Linked DNA regions of Macaca mulatta. The protein of the gene in region 1 interacts with the protein of each later gene in a pairwise test. Links are inferred from orthologs where the notes say so. Each region holds a gene or a part of one and is shown on either strand. Other genes may lie near its edges. The genes, in order: MARCHF2, FATE1, LDLRAD1 and FURIN.

Region 1 (5,148 bases):
AAAAATATTGACGTCATGGAGAGAAGGTAAGATTGATAAAATGTTCCAGAAAGAGAGACTAAATTAGAGTCATAACAACAAAATACAACACTTGATCCCGGGATGGATTAGGGATTTTTTTGTTTTTTTGACACAGGATCTTGCTCTGTTGCCCAGGCTGGAATGCAGTGGTGAGGTAATGGCTCACTGCAGCCCGGAACTCCTGGGCTCAACTGATCCTCTCACCTCAGCCTCCCAAGTAGCTGGGACCACAGGAGGATGCCACCACGCCTGGCTAATATTTTTTTTTTTTTTTTTTTTTTTTTTTTTTTTTTTGAGACGGAGTCTCACGCTGTTGCCCAGGCTGGAGTGCAGTGGCGTGATCTCGGCTCACTGCAAGCTCCGCCTCCCCGGGTTCACGCCATTCTCCTGCCTCAGCCTCCCGAGTAGCTGGGACTACAGGCGCCCGCCACCTCGCCCAGCTAATTTTCTTGTATTTTTAGTAGAGACGGGGTTTCACCGTGTTAACCAGGATGGTCTCGATCTCCTGACCTCGTGATCCGCCCGTCTCGGCCTCCCAAAGTGCTGGGATTACAGGCTTGAGCCACCGCGCCCGGCCAATATTTTTCTTTTATTTTGTAGAGATGAGGTCTCAGACTCCTGGACCCAAGAGACCTTTCTGCCTTGGGCTCCCGAAGAGCTGGGATTACAGACATGAGTCACTGTGCCTGGCCTGGATTTTGGATTTTTAAGGGACTTTATTGGAAACTTTTTTTTTTTTTGGAGACAGAGTCTGGCTGTGTCACCCAGGCTAGAATGCAGTGGCAAGATCTCTGCTCACTGCAACCTCCGCCTTGCAGATTCAAGCAATTCTCCTGCCTCAGCCTCCTGAGTAGCTGGTATTACTGGTGCCCACAACCAAACCCAGCCAATTATTTGTATTTTTAGTACAGATGGGGTTTCACCATGTTGGCCGGGCTGGTCTCAAACTCCTGACCTCAAATGATCCAAGTGCTGGGATTACAGGCGTGAGCCACCGCTCCCGGACATAGTGCAGTATTTTTAAAAAAATGGATCTGTCTTAGAGATGGGGGTGGGTGAGTTTACTATGTTGCCCACGCTGGCCTCGAACTCCTGGGCTCAAGTGAACCTCTTGCCTCAGCCTCCAGAGCATCTGGGACTACAGGCCCGCACCACCACGCTCGTCTAACTTTTAAATTTTTTGTAGAGACAGGATCTCACTATGTTGCCCAGGCTGGTCCCCAACTTCTGGGCTCAAGCGATCCTTCCGTCTCGGCCTCCCAAAGTGCTGGGATTACAAGCTTGAGCCACTGCGACCGGCTAGTCTCAAAAAAAAAAAAAAAAAAAAGTTGAATTCTGCAGCGGTTTTATTAGACGACGATGGCGGTCTGCAGGTGGCGCAGCAGCACCCCTGGTGCCTGGGCTGGGCTAGGGCGGGACCAGTGCTGGGGGCGGAGCCGGAGCTGGGGGGCGGAGCCAAGACTCGGCAGGGGCGGAGTCAGCAGCTGCGGCGCAGCGGGGCCTGTGCGGCCCACGGCGTCCCTGTCGCCTCCGGCCCCGCCTCTCAGGGCGGGACGTGCGTGGCGATTGGCGAGTGAGAGCGAGAGGCGGTCGCTATTGGCCCGCGGCGCTGTCGGCTCGGCGGGCGGTGCCCGGACGCAGGTGCCGGCCGGAGCGGAGCTAGTGGCGCCGACGGGCCGGGCCGGGCCGGGACCCGGGCCGGGGCGAACGGAGGGGCCTGCGCGGCCGCCCGGCCCGGCCGCGTATCAGGTAGGCATGGGCCTGCAGGTGGGGTCAGAGGACGCCAGTCCGCGGGCCAGCCCCGGGTTCGAGGCCGGAGCTCGGCACCCGGGCGGGACGGCTGGGCTCGATCCCTTGACCACAGCCTTCTCAGGGACGCGGGGACCCCAGTTCCCGTGTCAAGGCCGGTGGGAGGTCCCCGGGGTCCGGTACACAGTAGGCGCCTCTCCGAGCCTCGGTTTCCCCACCTGTGAAACTGGGTCATCCCATTGCCAACCTGATGGGGCTTCTGGGAGGACTCAGGAGGTGGCTGGTGCAGAAAGCGCCTGACACACAGTAGGTAACTACGAAGTGGCCAATGCCCTTCCCCAACCTCCTTCTCAGAGCCTCTCTACTTGCAAAATAGTAAGTTATAATATAATGAGCCAGCCACTTTGCACAAAGATGCTCAAACAGGATACCCTGTGCTATATGGGTACTCAAAACAGCGTAATCAAATGGGCATATTGAGCTCATTCAGTTCTTTTGAAACCATACTGAGTAGATGGAAGCACTAGAAATGTCCCCTGTTATACAGATGAGAGAGTCCAGGCTTAGACAGGTTAAGTGTCTTGCCCAGGGCCACACAGCACATAAGGAGTAGAGGTGGGATTGGAACCTCGTTTCTCATGCAGTGCCTAAAGGAACTGAAGGACACACAGGAGCCTCTCTATGGTAAGGGAAGAGGAATGAATGCAATGACAACCTCCACATTTACCCTAAAAAATATTAATTTTTTTTTTTTTTTGAGACGGAGTCTCACTCTGTCGTCCAGGCTGGAGTGCAGTGGCGTGATCTCCCACTCACTGCAAGCTCTGCCTCCCGGGTTCATGCCTCCCGGGTTCACGCCATTCTCGTGCCTCAGCCTCCCGAGTAGCTGGGACTACAGGCGCCCGCCACCATGCCCAGCTAATTTTATATATATATATATTATATATATATATATTTAGTAGAGATAGTGTTAACCAGGATGGTCTCGATATCCTGACCTCGTGATCCACCCGCCTCGGCTTCCCAAAGTGCTGGGATTACAGGCATGAGCCACCGTGCCCGGCCAATAGTGAGCTTTTATTGAGCACTTACTGTGTGTGCCAGGGGTTGACTGTGTGGCCTCTCATCAACAGCTCTGTAAGCTGATGATAGTAATTATAATAGGAGCTAATAATTAATTTCTTAATTTTTACTAATTTATGAACTATATATTATGACACCCCTTCTTTTTTTTTTTAGATGGAGTCTCCCTCTCTTGCCCAGACTGGAATGCAGTGACACGATCTCGGCTCATTGCAATCTCTGCCTCCCAGGTTCAAGCGATTCTCTCACCTCAGCCTCTCGAGTAGTTGGGATTACAGGCGCCCGCCACCATGCCTGGCCAGTTTTTGTCGTTTTAGCAGAAATGAGGTGGTTTCACCATGTTGACTGGGCTGGTCTTGAACTCCTGGCCTCAAGTGATCCACCATCCTTGAGCTCCCAAAGTGCGCAAAGTGCTGGGATTATAGGCATGAGCCCTTCGCCCGGCCTATAACACTCATTTTGTGGATGAGAATACTGAGGCTGAGAGAGTAAAACAGCTGCCTGAGATCACACTGTAGGGAGTTTTAGGGCCCTCTGATTCCTCTGCTCTCTGTTTCCTACCTTTAGGAAAAGGAGCCTGGGCAGGTATGGAAAAGACTGGGGGGCCTCAGTGCCACCCTAAACAAGCCTAGCTAAGGGTGAGCTTTACTTGATGAATTCAGCCTGGAGGCTCCTTCTCAGGAGACCCCCTCCACAGACAGATTCCACCAGCTCCATCATTAGAATGAAGCCCAGAGAAGCAAAATGACTTGAACCAGGACACTCAGCATTGGTGGCAGAGCCAGGAGGGCCAGGAGTTAAAGAACCCAGGTCTCTTGAGGTCCAGACCCACTCCCTGGACTGTTTTAAGTTCAAGTTCTGACACCACCCCTTCCCAGCTGTGTGACCTTGGAAAGGTAGATGCCTCTCTCTGAGCATCGGCCTCTTCCCCCATCACAGGGTGTAGTTATTGGTTTGTTGTGAAGACTCAATGAGATCTATATCCAGGCCGTGCATGGTGGCTCATGCCTGTAATCCCAACACTTTGAGAGGCCAAGGCGGGCAGATCACTGGAGGCCAGGAGTTCAGGACCAGCCTAGGCAACTTGGCAAAACACCATCTCTACAAAAAAATACAAAAATTAACTGGATGTGGTGGTGTGCAGAGCTACTTAGGAGGCTGAGGTGGGAGGATTACTACACTGCCTTCCAGCCTTTTGGGTGACAGAGTGAGACCCTGCCTCAAAACAAACAAACAAACAAACAACAGAAGAGAGAAAAGAAATAGGCCAGGCGCGGTGACTCATACCTGTAATCCCAGCACTTTAGGAGGCTGAAGTGGGTGGATCACGAGGTCAGGAGTTTGAGACTAACGTGGCCAACATGGTGAAACCCCGTCTCTACTGAAAATACAAAAGTTAGCCAGGTATGGTGGTGGGTGCATGTAATCCCAGCTACTCGGGAGGCTGAGGCAGGAGAATCCCTTGAATCCAGGAGATGGAGATTGCAGTGAGCTGAGATCGGCCACTATACTCCAGCCTAGGCGACAGAGCGAGACTCTGTCTCAAAAAATAAAAAAAGAAAAAGAGAAATGACTGCAGTAGCAACTAGAAATGCAGCAGCTCTGGGCTAGACACAGGGCCAGGGCCACATGCTGGGGACAGCAGGAGGCAATCTGACAAGGTCCCTTTTTTATAGAATTCACTGCAGGGTGGAACAACAGACATGGCTAAATACGTAGATGAATAAGTAGAATGTTTCAGACAGGGACACATGCCAGGAGGGGAATCAAGTGGACCCCAGTGGCGCTTGATTGATTGAGACAGGGTCTTGCTCTGTGGCCCAGGCTGGAGTGCAGTCGTGCAATCATGGCTCACCGCAGCCTCAACCTTCTGGGCTCAAATGATTCTCCCACCTCAGCCTCCTGAGTAGCTGGGATTACAGGCGCACACCACCACACCCGGCTCATTTTTGTATTTCTTGTAGAGGCGAGGTCTTGTTATGTTGCCCAGGCTTCTCTCAAACTCCTGGGCTCATACTATCCTCCCACCTCAGCCTCCCAAAGTGTGGGAATTACAAGCATGAGCCAATGCGTCCGGCCCCAGACAGCATAGTCGAGAAGGCTTCTCCAGGAAGGTGACCTTTGAAGGAGACACTTATAACAACTGTTTCGAGTTCAGTGAGATGATGACTATGTATGGAGCTTGCTTGGCACAGTATCCAGTTCTTTTTTTTTTTTTTTTTGAGACGGAGTCTCGCTCTGTAGCCCAGGCTGGAGTGCAGTGGCTGGATCTCAGCTCACTGCAAGCTCCGCCTC
Region 2 (4,915 bases), on another chromosome or scaffold:
TACTTCGTATCTGTATTTTCATTTGCTCAATCTGGCAACCTTGGCTGGGCTTCCCAGGCTCCTGAATCCCACTAAGCTGAGCACACTCAGTAGTTTCTCTGCTCCCAAGGTGGCCCTCCAGAAAGCTCAAATTTCATCGCAGCTGCTCCACTAGATCTGGGAAGGGCTTCTTTGGGGCCCCCAGGAATGCAGGCAGGGCCTATATCAGCTCTGCTTCCCAAGAGCTCGGCCCCAGCGCTGGACAGGTGAGGTGGGGGCAGGGGACAGGCAGCCTCAGACCATGCTGCCCTATCTCAGCTAGTTCTGACCCCTTCCTTTGCACTCCCTCTCCTTCCTTCCTTCCTTCCTTCCTTCCTTCCTTCCTTCCTTCCTTCCTTCCTTCCTCTTTTCCTCCTTCCTTCTTTCCTTCCTTCCTTCCTCCCTTCCTCTTTTCCTTCCTTCCTTCCTTCCTTCCTTCCTTCCTTCCTTCCTTCCTTCCTTCCTTCCTTCCTCCCTTCCTCTTTTCCTCCTTCCTTCCTCCTCTTTATCCCACCTGACCCAAGGGCTCTGGGGGAAGAAGAGGCTATTTCTAAAAGGAACGTTTTATAAACCTGTCCTGATTCCTTTCACAAATAGCCTCCTATTCCCCCAGGGGCTCTGGGGTTGTTTCCTAGAATGAAGGGTTCACCATAGGTCGTGTAGCAATCAGTGTTTTCCAGAGAAACAGAACTGATAGGATGTATATATGTATGTATGTATGTATGTATGTATCTGCATATGCACAAGTATATATACATTTATTTTAATAAATTGACTTATGCAATTGTGGGGCTGACAAGTCTGAAATGTGCAGGGCAGCCTGGCAGGCTGGCAACTCAAAGAAGAGTTGACACTGCAGTCCTGGGGTAGAATTACCTCTACTTTGGGAAACCTCAGTCTTTGCTCTTCAGGCCTCTCAGTTGATTGTGTGAGACCAACCCACATCATCGAGGATGTGTCTCTACTTTACTTCAAGTCCACTGGTTGTAGATGCCAACCACAGCTACAAAATGCCTCCACAGCAACACCTAGACTAGTGTTTGAAGGAGTCACTGGGGACTAGAACCTGGCCAGGTGACACATAAACCTGACCATCACAGTGGTCTAATCAGTAGGGAAACTGAGGGAGAATTGGGACTTAGAAGGTGCAAGGCCTGAGGCCCCTGGGAGTTCTAGTGGCTGCAGTCAGGTCCCACCTCTCTTACCCTTCTCTCCCTTTGTTCTCATGGCTCCTGCCTAGTCTGACCTACTTCAGAAAAAGGCTACCTCCCATGTCTGGGGACTCTGGATGGGGGAGGTAGGATATGCTCTCCAGAGAATCCCTTCTGAAGGTGTGGTATGGCCTGGATTGCTAGGACCTAACTCTGCTGTAGCCACTGCCTGGCTCTTGGACCCTGTGCCAATCCCTGTTTCTTCATAGAAATGATGGAGGGTAGACCCCACCCTTCCCCCCATGGGCTAAATATGGAGATTTATGAGCCAGAGCAGTTCTCACAGTCAAAGGCATGGAATTGTATCTCTTCTCCTAAGTTGCTTACAGAGTAGCAAGGAGAAGGCCACGGACCTAGCCAACAAGATACAATAGAAACAGAAAGTGCTGAGTCCAAGGCCTCAGCCTAGAGAGGGAGTCTTGCTCCACCCCCAGGTCTGACTATATCTTCCTTGAGCTCCTGTTCCAGGAAGAGGTGATTTTCTGAGTGTGACTCCTCTGTTCCTGGCACCCTGTACATCCTTAGCCATAGCTTACAAGTGAACAGCTGGTTGTGATGGCAGGAGGCCCTCCCAACACCAAGGCAGAGATGGAAATGTCCCTGACAGAAGAACTGAATCATGGACGCCAAGGGCAAAACCAAGAGCACCTGGTGATAGCGGGTGAGGATCCCCTAAAATACCCCTAGGCTACAGCCAACTGTGTAGATACATGTCTGTACCTGTGCATGTGTGTGTTGGGAAAGGTGCATGTGTGCATGGAAGTGTTTGCACATCTGTGTGTTGGGCGGGCTTTGAGGATTTGTGGGTTGATGGTAAGGGATCTAGGAGAAAAGGGATAGATGATGTGAGCATTTTGCCCTGGGAGGGAGGAGGATGGGAACAACATGTGTGGTCCCTCTGTCTTCCCCTTGTCCAAGCCACCACAGTGTCTGTTGCAAAATACTCAGAGGGCTCAAATTATGAGACCAGAGATCAATTCTCTCTCCCAACCCTCGAATTCATTTTCCTGCCATTTGGAGGAAAATCCAGACTCCATGATCTATAAGATTGTATCAGCCTCCTCAAAACATTTCATACTATGATATAGACAGAAAATACCATTTCTATAGCACACAAAGGGATCCAGATCACATTGCATTTATGTTTGTTCTTACAATGCTCCAAGCCTGCTTCTTCCCCAAAGACCTTGCATTTGCTGTTTCCTCTGTCTGGAATGCTCTTTCCCTCAATTTCCCAGGGCTGGGTCCTTTATTTTTTTCAGGTCCCTGCCTCAATTGTTGTCTCCTACTTTTCTAGAAGGAGCCCTTTCCTTCCACTATGTTACCCTGTTTTGATCATTTATGGAGCCTGCATCTCTCTGTCTGCATTTGCAAGGATAGACCTTCTGTTTTACACCTGTCATTCACTCTTATACACAAAACAGATGGTCAGTTCCTTGATAGCTGGAATCTTGTTCTTGGTCATTGCTCTCTAGATTACTGGAGAGTAACCTAGTCTCGAGCTGAGCCCTCAGGATTCTTGTTTAACTTTTGAACAGATGAACAAACTGAGACCTGGGATCAGCTGGTGGACAGTGGTTAATGGGTGCTGAGTGATTCCCAAGAAAGCTGGGGACTCTGTCTTCTTTTTGGTGTGTTTTGTGCCCAAGAAGCCCTGGTACAACTTCTATGGGTGCTCCTGGGGTCTCTGTTCTTCTCTCTAGAAATGATGGAGCATGGATCTCGGTCCCTGGGTGCCTCCCAGAAGAGGCAGAAGTTGGAACAAAAAGCTGCTGGCTCTGCTTCAGCGAAACGAGTTTGGAATATGACTGCCACCCGATCCAAGAAAATGGTACTGCATGGGGTCCTCAGCACATGTTGGCCAGGTTGGGGTTGGGAGTACTGGTTGTAGGGGCTGTAGCCTGACCAGGTCAGGCAGGGCTAGACATTGACTTGTGAGGAGGAGGAAGCTCCTGTATTCCAAGCTGGCAAATGAGGACAGAAAGGTCAGGGTCATCCTTTCCTATGCTTGGGATGCAACCTTGGGAGTTCAGAACGCCTGAAACAAATATTGCATGGGGAGTACATAAATATTTCACTCTGTAAATCCATTGTGTGAAATAACGCTTCCTGTATTTAAAATTGTGTGTGTGGTGCGTGTGTGTGTATACACACAATAACTCAGGTGAGGCTCCTACGCTTTCTGGCTGTTAAGAAATCCAGTCAAGTCGTCTGGCATGGTGGCTCATGCCTGTAATCTGAGCACTCTGGCAGGAAGAGGTGGACGGATCACTTGAGGCCAGGAGTTGGAGAACAGTCTGGCCAGCATGGTGAAACCTTGTCTCTACTAAAAATACAAAAATTAGCTGGGCATGGTGGCACATGCCTGTAATCACAGCTACTCAGGAGGCTGAGGCATGAGAATCGCTTGAACCTAGCAAGCAGAGGTTGCAGTGAGCTGAGATCATGCAACTGTACTCCAGTCTGGGCAACAGAGCAAGAGAAAGAAAGGAAGAGAGAGAGAGAGAGAGAGAGAGAGAGAGAGAGAGAGACAGAGAGAGAGAGGGGGAGAGAGAGAGAGAGAGAGAGAGAGAAGAAGGAAGGAAAAGGAAAAGAAAGGAAAGAAAGAAAGAAAGAAAGAAAGAAAGAAAGAAAGAAAGAAAGAAAGAAAGAAAGAGAAAGAAAGAAAGAAAGAAAGAAAGAAAGAAAGAAAGAGAAAGAAAGAAAAAAGAAATCCAGGAAAGTGAATCTGACCATTTTGTAGCCAGTCCTTTTAAGCTACATTCGATATGGGTGAAGGAATGTTTTAGAATAAATAGTGGCTATACTGTTGCAAATGATATTGGGAAAACACAGTCATTTTGGATGGGGAGGGAAGCCTGACTATTCTAGAGAATTAAGTGAGTCCCACAGTTCTGTAGCCAATCATTTTAGCTAGCTAAATTCACTGTGAGTAAGGGAAAGTTTTACAAAAATTGTTGTTATGCTGTTGCAAAGGCTGCTGGGAAAAGGCAACAAGATTGGAGAGGGAGGGAGGTCTGACTGCTCCAGGAAATCATGTGAGTCCCACAGTTCTGTAGCCAATTCTTTAAGCTACATTCATTGTGGGTGTTGAATCTTCTAGAAAAATGCTGGCCACATTGTTGCAAAGGATACTGAGCCATTTTGCAGAGGAGGTAGACCTGACCGTTTTAGGGAATCATGAATCCCATAATTGCGTAGCCAATGTTGTTCACCACATTCAGGTGGATGAGGGAAAGCGTTAGAAAATGGTGGTTTTACTGTTACCACAGTAAAGTTTGAAAGTTATTGGGGGGCAATAAGGTTGGAGAGGGAGGGAGACTTGATTGCTGAAATGATTTATTGGGTAGCCCCAGTGAAGAATGAGAAAAAAAGCTTGCAAGTTAGAGATTTCCTGGGAATAAAAATAAGTCAAATATTGAGTTGGCTTTTTGTGTCCAAAGACAGAAGCCAAATCAAGTTGCTCCAGGAAGTCAGGCTCCTGCAAGCCACCAACGTCCCTGAGACTAGAGGACAGGCTGGGCAGGCTACTTTACTGATCATTCCTTTCTTCAGGGGTCCCAGCTGCCAATGCCCAGAATGCTGAGAGAATCAGGCCATGGGGATGCCCATCTCCAGGAGTACCCTGGCAATTTCCAAGGCATGCGTTTCTCTGGTTTAATTAAAGTTGACTATGAGGGCTAGAG
Region 3 (4,216 bases), on another chromosome or scaffold:
CGAGATCATGCAACTGCACTTCAGCCTGGGCAATAGAGCGAGACTCCATCTCAAAAAAATGCAAAAAACAAAAGCCCCCACCACATGCCTGGCTCTAGGCTGGGTTCTGGGGTCACAGGGATGAATCACACCTGCTCCTGCCCCTTTCTCTGAGGTACCTGTGGCAGGTCAGTAGCTCCCATGCTCCTTCAGACATGTCCATGCCTTGCCTTCTAAGTGCAATAACAAGCTGCAGAGGACAAGGACCAGGGCAAGCTGCACAGCAGGGTACCCAGGAGGTCCTCAGTAAAGCCTTCTTTTATTATTTTGTAAGCAGGAGAGAATTAAAGGAGAATTAAAGTGCAGTTCTACAAGAGTAGGGAGGTCCCCTGTCACTGCTATCTCCGTAGCACTTAGAATAAGGCGCGGCACATGGTAAGTCCTCAACAAGCAATAATAGACCAGACACGGTGGTACACGCCTGTTGTCCCAGCACTTTGGGAGGCTGAGGCAGGAGGACTGCTTGAGCCTAGGACTTACAGGGTGCAGTGAACTACGATCACACCACTGCACTGCAGCGTGGGCAACAGAGCCAGACCCTATCCCTAAAATATAAAAAATAATAATTTTTTAAAAAGCAATAATAATAGCTCATACTCACCACTTACTATGTGCTGAGCACTGTTCTAACACATTAACTCAACAAATTCTAATCCTCTCAACAAACTCAGAGGTAGCTACTGTGGTCCCCATTTTCCACATGAGGAATCTGAGGCACAGGGAAGTGAAGTGGCTTACTCAGTGTGGCCCAGATAGGATGTGGTAGAGCTGGGATTCCAACCTGCATCCCAGCAGACTCCAGAATGAACAGTCAATTGGGACAGTGAAAAGGGCATGGGTTTTGGCATCAAACAGGTGTAGATTCACACGCCAGCTCTACCCGGGGTGACCTGAATCTTTTCTTCTTGAGCCCTAGTTTCCTCATTGATAAAATAAAAGTTTGTTTTGAAAAATAAAGACCATGGTTATGAAGGGCCTAATGGAGCTTCTGCCCCAAGTTGGGGGCTGGACACACAGGCGTCCATCTCTCCCAGTGTCCTGAGGAGGTCACCTGATGGCGGGTGGGAGAGGAGGCTGTCCGCCTCTGCCATTCAGTCATCTGTGGGCCCCGGCCAGGGTGGCATCTAGTGGAGTGGGCCCACAGGCAGAACAAAGAGCATCAAAGAGCATCACGGAGGGCTTGGGAGCTGCTCCTCCAGGGAAGCCATCCCTGCTCTGCTCACCCTGGTTGGGGACAGGCTGCTTGCAGCGGGCATGGCGGGAAGGGAGCACCCTGTTCCCAGTGCTGGCCCTCATCACCACCACCCCCGGGCTTGTTTCCCCCCACACAGCAGGCTGCGGCCCCCTCTGCTGCTCGCGTCGCAGGGCCTGCCTCTCTGCCTCTCTGCTGTTCCTCCTGGCAACTCTGGCCGCCCTCATCGCCTTGGTCACCATCCTTGGACTCCCATCACGCACCCCCGGTCAGGGCAGCCAAGAAAGGGTGGGTCAGACCCGGTGGGAAGGGCATGGGGGGGCACAGAGAGATGAGGGAGCCCCGACCTGCCTGGCTTCTCTACCAGATGACTTTGGACAAATTCCTTAAGGTGCACGCACAGACACCTGCACACACACTGACTGTACCAGTCTCTGAGCCTCCATTTGCACATCTGTGACATGGTTACCGAGAGGATCCAGCTCTGAAGTCACCTCCTCCAGGATGTCTTCCTAGACCCCCAGGCTGGGTTACAAGCCTCTTCTCAGCCCCACAGTCCCTATACTTCCTCTTCCCCTGGCCTGGGCACCCTGGGGTAGTGCTATACATCTGTGTGTCCATCTCCACCATGGGGGACAGGGTCACATCCCATACATGCCTGCAGCCCCAGCTTCAGGGGTGAACAACCCCAAGACAGTGCCTGCCCTCATGGAGCTAATAATTGTTCTGAGAGCAGTCTCGACATGAATACATATTACAGCAGGGTCCCTGGGATCCCTGAGAGTCTAGCCCCGTTGAGGAGTCAGGGTAGGCACAATGGGTATTAGTAGTGGGGGGATGCCAGGAAAAGCATCCCAGGAACAGGGAACAGCATGTGTGGAGCCCTGAGGGGTGGGAGGAAGCAGGAAGAGAAGAAGAGACTGCAAGAGGCCAGTGTGCAGGAAGGGCTAGAGTGACAAGTGGGGCCAAGGGCCTCACAGGCTGCACCGAGAAGGGAGGTCATAGTCCAGGAGCCACAGGAGATTAAGCTGGGGGCAAGTGTCACCAGGTGGATGTTTCTGCAGGATGGCTCTGCAGCCGGGCAGGGTGGGTGTAGAGGGCTGAGGCAGGGGCTGAGCTCTCCCGCTGCCTGTGCAGGAACACAGGCCCTGAGGTGGATGCGAATACATGAGCAGCTGCAGTCATGAGTCCGTGCACGCACCTGTGTGTTTTGTGTGTCTATGAGTATATGCAGCTGTCTGTGTATGCATGTTCATGTCTGTGTGAGAGCATGTGTGTGTCAGTGCATGTGTGCACATCTGTTGTCTGTGTATCTGTGAGTGTGCATGTAGGTGCAGCTGTGTGTGAGCATGTGTTCATGTGTGTGTGCATCTGTGTGTGTGTCTGTGTCAACATGAGTGTCTCTGAGAGTTGCTCCCCCGTCCCCCAACCCACACTAGCTGAGGCTGCCCAGGGACTGAGAGGTGGTTCACGCATGCACAAACACAAATGCACAAACCGGCTCCCATCCCCAATTATGCACACGTATACACACGTGGGGCCAAGGGGTTCCCCCTACCTTGTCCGCAGGTTTCCGTCTTTTAATTCTTTGCGGCAGCCCTAGGAGTGGGTATTCCTTTTCTCCTCCCATATGGGGGGCCAATGATGACGTGTCTCAGGGGTGTTTGGGGAACTATAGAATAAAGATATGAAAGTGCTTTGCAGTTGTGCCCAGATAGAAGGAATTATGACATATGGCCCTCCAGCCAGCCCAAGTATATTGCTTCTGACACTCTAACCTCATACCAGGAGCTTCACCATTACAACCACTTCACTTAATTGAACACTGTCCTCAGAAGCTTCCCGTGACACTGTAAATAAGTTTTCAATACAGGAGAGAACCATTACTTGTCCTGCACATTTTCTGTTCTATGTTTCTTCACAGAGATGGTTTTATTTAATCCCCGCAACAGTCCCACGGGGTGTGTGCTATGATCCCCATGTTGCAGACAACCTGAGACTCAAGGTGGTCAGGTCATCTGCCCAAGATCAGGCAGCCGGCAGTGGGTAGAGCTGGGGCTTGAACCCCATTGATGGCGCTGGGTTCATCCCCCCCACTGCTCTAGCCCCTCAGGCCAGCTCTAGGTGGAGTTCAGGTGAGGAAAGTTTGTCCTTGTGAGCACCACCCCTGACCCTCCAGGGCCTTCCCCTACCCATTCAGGAGCCCAAGCTTGTATAACACTGACAAATAGGACAGGCTTCTTGTGCCATGACCAGAGGAGCTGCATTCCAGCCAGTGGGGTCTGTGATGGCGTTTGCACCTGTACCCACGGCGAGGATGAGGATGAGAGCTTGTGCCGTGAGTACCCGCTCGGTGCTGCCCCTCCCAGGGGTTCCCCCACAGCCTAATTATCTCTGCAGCCATACTGAAGCTCAGTCATCCCTGAACACACCAGGCACCTTCACGTCCCCATGGTTTTGATGCTCCAGTGCCTTCAGCCAGGAACGCCTGCCCCGACCTGGTCCCAGTCAGGGACATACATGCCCCCACTAAGGAATGCCTTCACCCTGTGCATCTCCACTCCCAGAGAACCCGTATTCATCCCTCAAGGCAGAGTTCAAGTGTTACCTCCTCCAGGAAGCTTTCCCTGACTCCCACACGAGGTTAAATTGTCTCCTTGGGCTTCCACAGTCCCTGTGGTTCCCTGTGTCGCAGCCCTCGTCACACTGGTTGTCACTCGATTGGCACATCTGCTGCCCCCATCAGACTGTGAACTCCTCTGAGGCAGGCCCAGTCCGCTTGATATGGGGGCCCCAGCGCCTAGCACAGAGGGGTATTCAGAATGGCTTGCTGAATGAATGAGCAAATGAATGAATGGGAAGACCTGGCCCCGGACCTCAGACACCAGAATGTTCTCAGGAGAGAGAAGCCTGACCCCACAGGAGAGAGACAGCCTGGAGAGGTGCAGTGGGTGGGGTAGGGGAGCTCATGGAGGGCGAGTCATT
Region 4 (4,916 bases), on another chromosome or scaffold:
AGGCTCCTTTGGGAACCGGAGACTCTTTCTAGTCCAGAAGGTGTGGTTGGGGGCAGGAGGTGTTCTCTTTTCCCTTCTCTGGGTCTTGTCTTTGAAAGGCAGAGGCAAACGGGTAGTTGGGGGTTCAGGGTTTCCCAGCATCAGCCTCTACCCTCCCCTGCTCATCCCCTGGGGTGCAGGGCTGGGTGTGCTCCTTGGGGTGGGAGCCCCGACAGCTGGACCCACGCAGCATCCCTCTTCATGCCCCCTCTTCATGGCCAGGGGTGCGCATGCTGGATGGCGAGGTGACAGATGCAGTGGAGGCACGCTCGCTGGGCCTGAACCCCAACCACATCCACATCTACAGTGCTAGCTGGGGCCCCGAGGATGACGGCAAGACAGTGGATGGGCCAGCCCGCCTCGCTGAGGAGGCCTTCTTCCGTGGGGTTAGCCAGGTGAGGTGGGGATCGGTCCAGCCCATGGGGGCAGGCTGGGCGGTTTTTTTGGTTTATTTATTCTCGTGTTTAACTTTACACAAAACATGTTTATTGAAACATTAAGGGACAAAAGAAAAGTAAAGTGCTTATACCAATTGCACTTGGCTAATTAAAAAACAATTTTTTTTTAGAGATGAGGTCTTGCTATGTTACCCAGGGTGGTCTTGAACTCCTGGCCTCAAGCAATCCTCCCGCCTTGGTCTCCTGGTCTGATTTTTTGTGTGTCTAGATAGATATATTTGGATACACACTTGATCCACCAGGGATCTCACAGGGGACAGGAGGTTCCCAGAGAATGAGGCCAGTTCTCCAGCAGTGTCCTCCTGCCAACCCTCCCTCAAGTCCCAATCCTGAATGACCCCAGCCCACTCTGTCCACAGGGCCGAGGGGGGCTGGGCTCCATCTTTGTCTGGGCCTCGGGGAACGGGGGCCGGGAACATGACAGCTGCAACTGCGACGGCTACACCAACAGTATCTACACGCTGTCCATCAGCAGCGCCACGCAGTTTGGCAACGTGCCCTGGTACAGTGAGGCCTGCTCATCCACACTGGCCACGACCTACAGCAGTGGCAACCAGAATGAGAAGCAGATTGTGAGTCTTACCTGGGCTTGGGGGCTGGGGAAATGGGGCTGCTGGCTGACTTTGCCCAGCACCCTCTTTTGGAGGCTGTTTGCCTCCACCCCCATGTGGCTGGGTGATAGTGGCTCAGGCATCATGGAATGTGAACTCTGGGGCTCTCTAAGTTCTTGGGAGGCGGTGGAGCCATACCTGAAGCCTTTGAAAAGCCTAGTCTCTCCCTAAAAACATACGTCGTTCTTATTCATCTCCAACTGCTAGTTAAACCCCCTTATTCCTTTGGAAAATGAGGTCCAGGAGGGGCTCATCATTAGCCTGTCCACAGCAAGTTAACAGGGCAGCAGCTGGGACCCAGGGGTCTTGGCCCTGGCTTCTCATACCATCTGTGGTGCCCAGGGCCTGTAGGCAGGTGGCTCCTCTAGCCCTCTCCACCCATCACAGGCCCCAATAAGATTATCTTCCTGGCAGGTGACGACTGACTTGCGGCAGAAGTGCACGGAGTCTCACACGGGCACCTCAGCCTCTGCCCCCTTAGCAGCCGGCATCATTGCTCTCACCCTGGAGGCCAAGTAAGTGGGTGGGGGCCAGGGGCAACCCTGTCTCTACCAGCACTCTCTGTAGGGCAGCCCTTAGTCTCCAGCTGCTCCCAAAAAAGACTGATCCCTGACCTCTCCTTTCCTTCTTTGCAGTAAGAACCTCACATGGCGGGACATGCAGCACCTGGTGGTACAGACCTCGAAGCCAGCCCACCTCAACGCCAACGACTGGGCCACCAATGGTGTGGGCCGGAAAGGTGAGGACAGGCTGGCCCCGCAGGCTGGATGTGGAGTTAGGTGGAAGGCACTCTGTGCCTCACAGCTGACTTCACCTTCCCTGTTCCCACAGTGAGCCACTCGTATGGCTACGGGCTTTTGGACGCAGGCGCCATGGTGGCCCTGGCCCAGAATTGGACCACAGTGGGCCCCCAGCGGAAGTGCATCATCGACATCCTCACGGAGCCCAAGTGAGGGCTGGACCCAGGCTGGGAGGGGGCCAGTGGGACCAGAGTCGCAGGGGGTGCCCGCTGGTCCCTCTGGGCCAGGCTGACCATCATGGTCCTCTCCTGCACAGAGACATCGGGAAACGGCTCGAGGTGCGGAAGACCGTGACCGCGTGCCTGGGCGAGCCCAACCACATCACTCGGCTGGAGCACGCTCAGGCGCGGCTCACCCTGTCCTATAATCGCCGTGGCGACCTGGCCATCCACCTGGTCAGCCCCATGGGCACCCGCTCCACCCTGCTGGCAGCCAGGTGCTTGCTCTGTCCCTGCCCATCACCTCCTCCTCTCACAGCCCGCGTGCTTGCCTTTGCTCGCTCACACGGCCCAGGGGGCACTGAGTGCTACTCAGTGGGGCACTCTTGGCATTTTGGGAGGGACAGTTTTGTCCTGTGGGACTGTCCCATGTTGCAGGAATCCCTGGCTTGCACCTATTTAATGTCAGTAGTGTGCCCCACCTTGTGCAGTGCCTGTGTATCCTTCTAGAATCCCCTGGTTGAGCATGTCTGGCTCGCTGGGAAACAGCCAAGCCAGCAGGCACTTCTGGCCCCGTGAGGTTGGTCTGCGTGGGGGAAGGGTATGTGGCCCGTGTGCTGTGGGTTAGATGTCCCTAGCTTGGGGTCCCCCAGAGGCCTCAGGGCTGTGTGCACTCCCCTCCCCAGGCCACATGACTACTCCGCAGATGGGTTTAATGACTGGGCCTTCATGACAACTCATTCCTGGGATGAGGATCCCTCTGGCGAGTGGGTCCTAGAGATTGAAAACACCAGCGAAGCCAACAACTATGGTACTGGGGGCACTTGAGGGGTAGGGGTACGAGGTGGAGGGCTGGCAGGATCTAGGGCACTGGGCGTGGTGCCAGCACTGTCCAACTCTTGCCTCCTCACCGCTCTGGAACAGGGACACTGACAAAGTTCACCCTCGTACTCTATGGCACTGCCCCTGAGGGGCTGCCCATACCTCCAGAAAGCAGTGGCTGCAAGACCCTCACGTCCAGTCAGGCCTGTGTGGGTCAGTAGTGGGTGCTGTTGGGCTTTGGGGGCCGGAGTCTGGGGGGATGGCGGGTGCCTGTCCTGAAGCCCAGCTCTAAGAAAAAAGTCTCAAGAGACCTAGGGCCCCTGGGGCTTTTGGGATGACCACAGTCCTGGGGCTGGGGGATCTTGGGGATGTGGTGACTTGGCTTGGGGCTGCTATGGTCCTGGTGCTACAGTCTGTTTAGCTGACACACACTTGCCCTCTCTCCCACGCCGGCAGTGTGCGAGGAAGGCTTCTCCCTGCACCAGAAGAGCTGTGTCCAGCACTGCCCTCCAGGCTTTGCCCCCCAAGTCCTCGATACACACTATAGCACCGAGAATGACGTGGAGACCATCCGGGCCAGCGTCTGCGCCCCCTGCCACGCCTCATGTGCCACATGCCAGGGGCCGGCCCCGACAGACTGCCTCAGCTGCCCCAGCCATGCCTCCTTGGACCCTGTGGAGCAGACTTGCTCCCGGCAAAGCCAGAGCAGCCGAGAGTCCCCGCCACAGCAGCAGCCACCCCGGCTGCCCCCAGAGATGGAGGCGGGGCCGCGGCTGCGGGCAGGGCTGCTGCCCTCACACCTGCCTGAGGTGGTGGCTGGCCTCAGCTGCGCCTTCATCGTGCTGGTCTTCGTCACTGTCTTCCTGGTCCTGCAGCTGCGCTCTGGCTTTAGCTTCCGGGGGGTGAAGGTGTACACCATGGACCGTGGCCTCATCTCCTACAAGGGGCTGCCCCCTGAAGCCTGGCAGGAGGAGTGTCCGTCTGACTCAGAAGAGGATGAGGGCCGGGGCGAGAGGACCGCCTTTATCAAAGACCAGAGCGCCCTCTGATGAGCCCACTGCCCACCCCCTCAAGCCAATCCCCTCCTTGGGCACTTTTTAATTCACCAAAGTATTTTTTTATCTTGGGACTGGGTTTGGACCCCAGCTGGGAGGCAAGAGGGGTGGAGACTGCGCCCTTCCTACCCTCGGGCCCATCTGGCCACCTGAGGTGGGCCCAGGACCAGCTGGGGTGCGGGGAGGGCCGTACCCCACCCTCAGCACCCCCTCCATGTGGAGAAAGGAGTGAAACCTTTAGGGCAGCTTGCCCAGGCCCAGGCCCAGGCCCAGGCCCAGGCCCCAGCCCCAGCCAGAGTTCCTGCGGAGTGAAGAGGGGCAGCCTTTGCTTGTTGGGATTCCTGACCCAGGCCGTAGCTCTTGCCCTTCCCTGTCCCTCTAAAGCAATAATGGTCCCATCCAGGCAGTCGGGGGCTGGCCTAGGAGGTATCTGAGGGAGGAGGCCACCTCTCCAAGGGCTTCTGCACCCTCCACCTTGTCCCCCAGCTCTGGTGAGTCTTGGCAGCAGCAGCCATCATAGGAAGGGACCAAGGCAAGGCAGGTGCCTCCAGGTGTGCACGTGGCATGTTGGCCTGTGGCCTGTGTCCCATGACCCACCCCTGTGCTCCCTGCCTCCACCACCACTGGCCACCAGGCTGGCGCAGCCAAGGCTGAAATTCTGGCTGAACCCTGTGCTGGTGTCCTGACCACCCTCCCCTCTTTTGCACCTGCCTCTCCCATCAGGGCCCAAGTCCCTGTTTTCTGAGCCCGGGCTGTCTGGGCTGTTGGCACTCACAGACCTGGAGCCCCTGGGTGGGTGGTGGGGAGGGGCGGTGGCCCAGCCAGCCTCTCTGGCCTCCCACCCAATGCTGCTTTCCCCTGTGGGGATCTCAGGGGCTGTTTGAGGATATATTTTCACTTTGTGATTATTTCACTTTAGATGCTGATGATTTGTTTTTGTATTTTTAATGGGGGTAGCAGCTGGACTACCCAC

Evidence for each region.
Region 2: the proteins of MARCHF2 (region 1) and FATE1 interact in binary tests that used the Homo sapiens proteins (3 or more experiments, as listed by UniProt). The two-hybrid records come from large-scale screens. The link is inferred for Macaca mulatta from reciprocal best matches to the Homo sapiens genes MARCHF2 and FATE1.
Region 3: the proteins of MARCHF2 (region 1) and LDLRAD1 interact in binary tests that used the Homo sapiens proteins (3 or more experiments, as listed by UniProt). The two-hybrid records come from large-scale screens. The link is inferred for Macaca mulatta from reciprocal best matches to the Homo sapiens genes MARCHF2 and LDLRAD1.
Region 4: the proteins of MARCHF2 (region 1) and FURIN interact in a protein complementation assay, tested with the Homo sapiens proteins (2 studies listed by BioGRID). The link is inferred for Macaca mulatta from reciprocal best matches to the Homo sapiens genes MARCHF2 and FURIN.

Annotation. Positions count from the first base shown.
Region 1 is NC_133424.1:9,260,503-9,265,650, forward strand, and holds the start of MARCHF2 (E3 ubiquitin-protein ligase MARCHF2), read left to right. Parts: upstream 1-1,643; 5' UTR 1,644-1,770; exon of another isoform or gene 1,771-2,454; intron 2,455-3,009; exon of another isoform or gene 3,010-3,083; intron 3,084-3,913; exon of another isoform or gene 3,914-4,257; intron 4,258-5,148. UniProt on the Homo sapiens protein: E3 ubiquitin-protein ligase that may mediate ubiquitination of TFRC and CD86, and promote their subsequent endocytosis and sorting to lysosomes via multivesicular bodies.
Region 2 is NC_133426.1:157,951,366-157,956,280, forward strand, and holds the start of FATE1 (fetal and adult testis-expressed transcript protein), read left to right. Parts: upstream 1-1,696; 5' UTR 1,697-1,784; coding exon 1,785-1,890; intron 1,891-2,932; coding exon 2,933-3,060; intron 3,061-4,915. UniProt on the Homo sapiens protein: Involved in the regulation of endoplasmic reticulum (ER)-mitochondria coupling. Negatively regulates the ER-mitochondria distance and Ca(2+) transfer from ER to mitochondria possibly implicating it in the regulation of apoptosis.
Region 3 is NC_133406.1:186,598,767-186,602,982, forward strand, and holds part of LDLRAD1 (low-density lipoprotein receptor class A domain-containing protein 1), read left to right. Parts: intron 1-1,370; coding exon 1,371-1,499; intron 1,500-3,431; coding exon 3,432-3,569; intron 3,570-4,216.
Region 4 is NC_133412.1:80,789,013-80,793,928, forward strand, and holds the end of FURIN (furin precursor), read left to right. Parts: intron 1-261; coding exon 262-434; intron 435-856; coding exon 857-1,069; intron 1,070-1,522; coding exon 1,523-1,623; intron 1,624-1,743; coding exon 1,744-1,847; intron 1,848-1,939; coding exon 1,940-2,057; intron 2,058-2,164; coding exon 2,165-2,344; intron 2,345-2,752; coding exon 2,753-2,877; intron 2,878-2,990; coding exon 2,991-3,101; intron 3,102-3,344; coding exon 3,345-3,937; 3' UTR 3,938-4,198; downstream 4,199-4,916. UniProt on the Homo sapiens protein: Ubiquitous endoprotease within constitutive secretory pathways capable of cleavage at the RX(K/R)R consensus motif. Mediates processing of TGFB1, an essential step in TGF-beta-1 activation.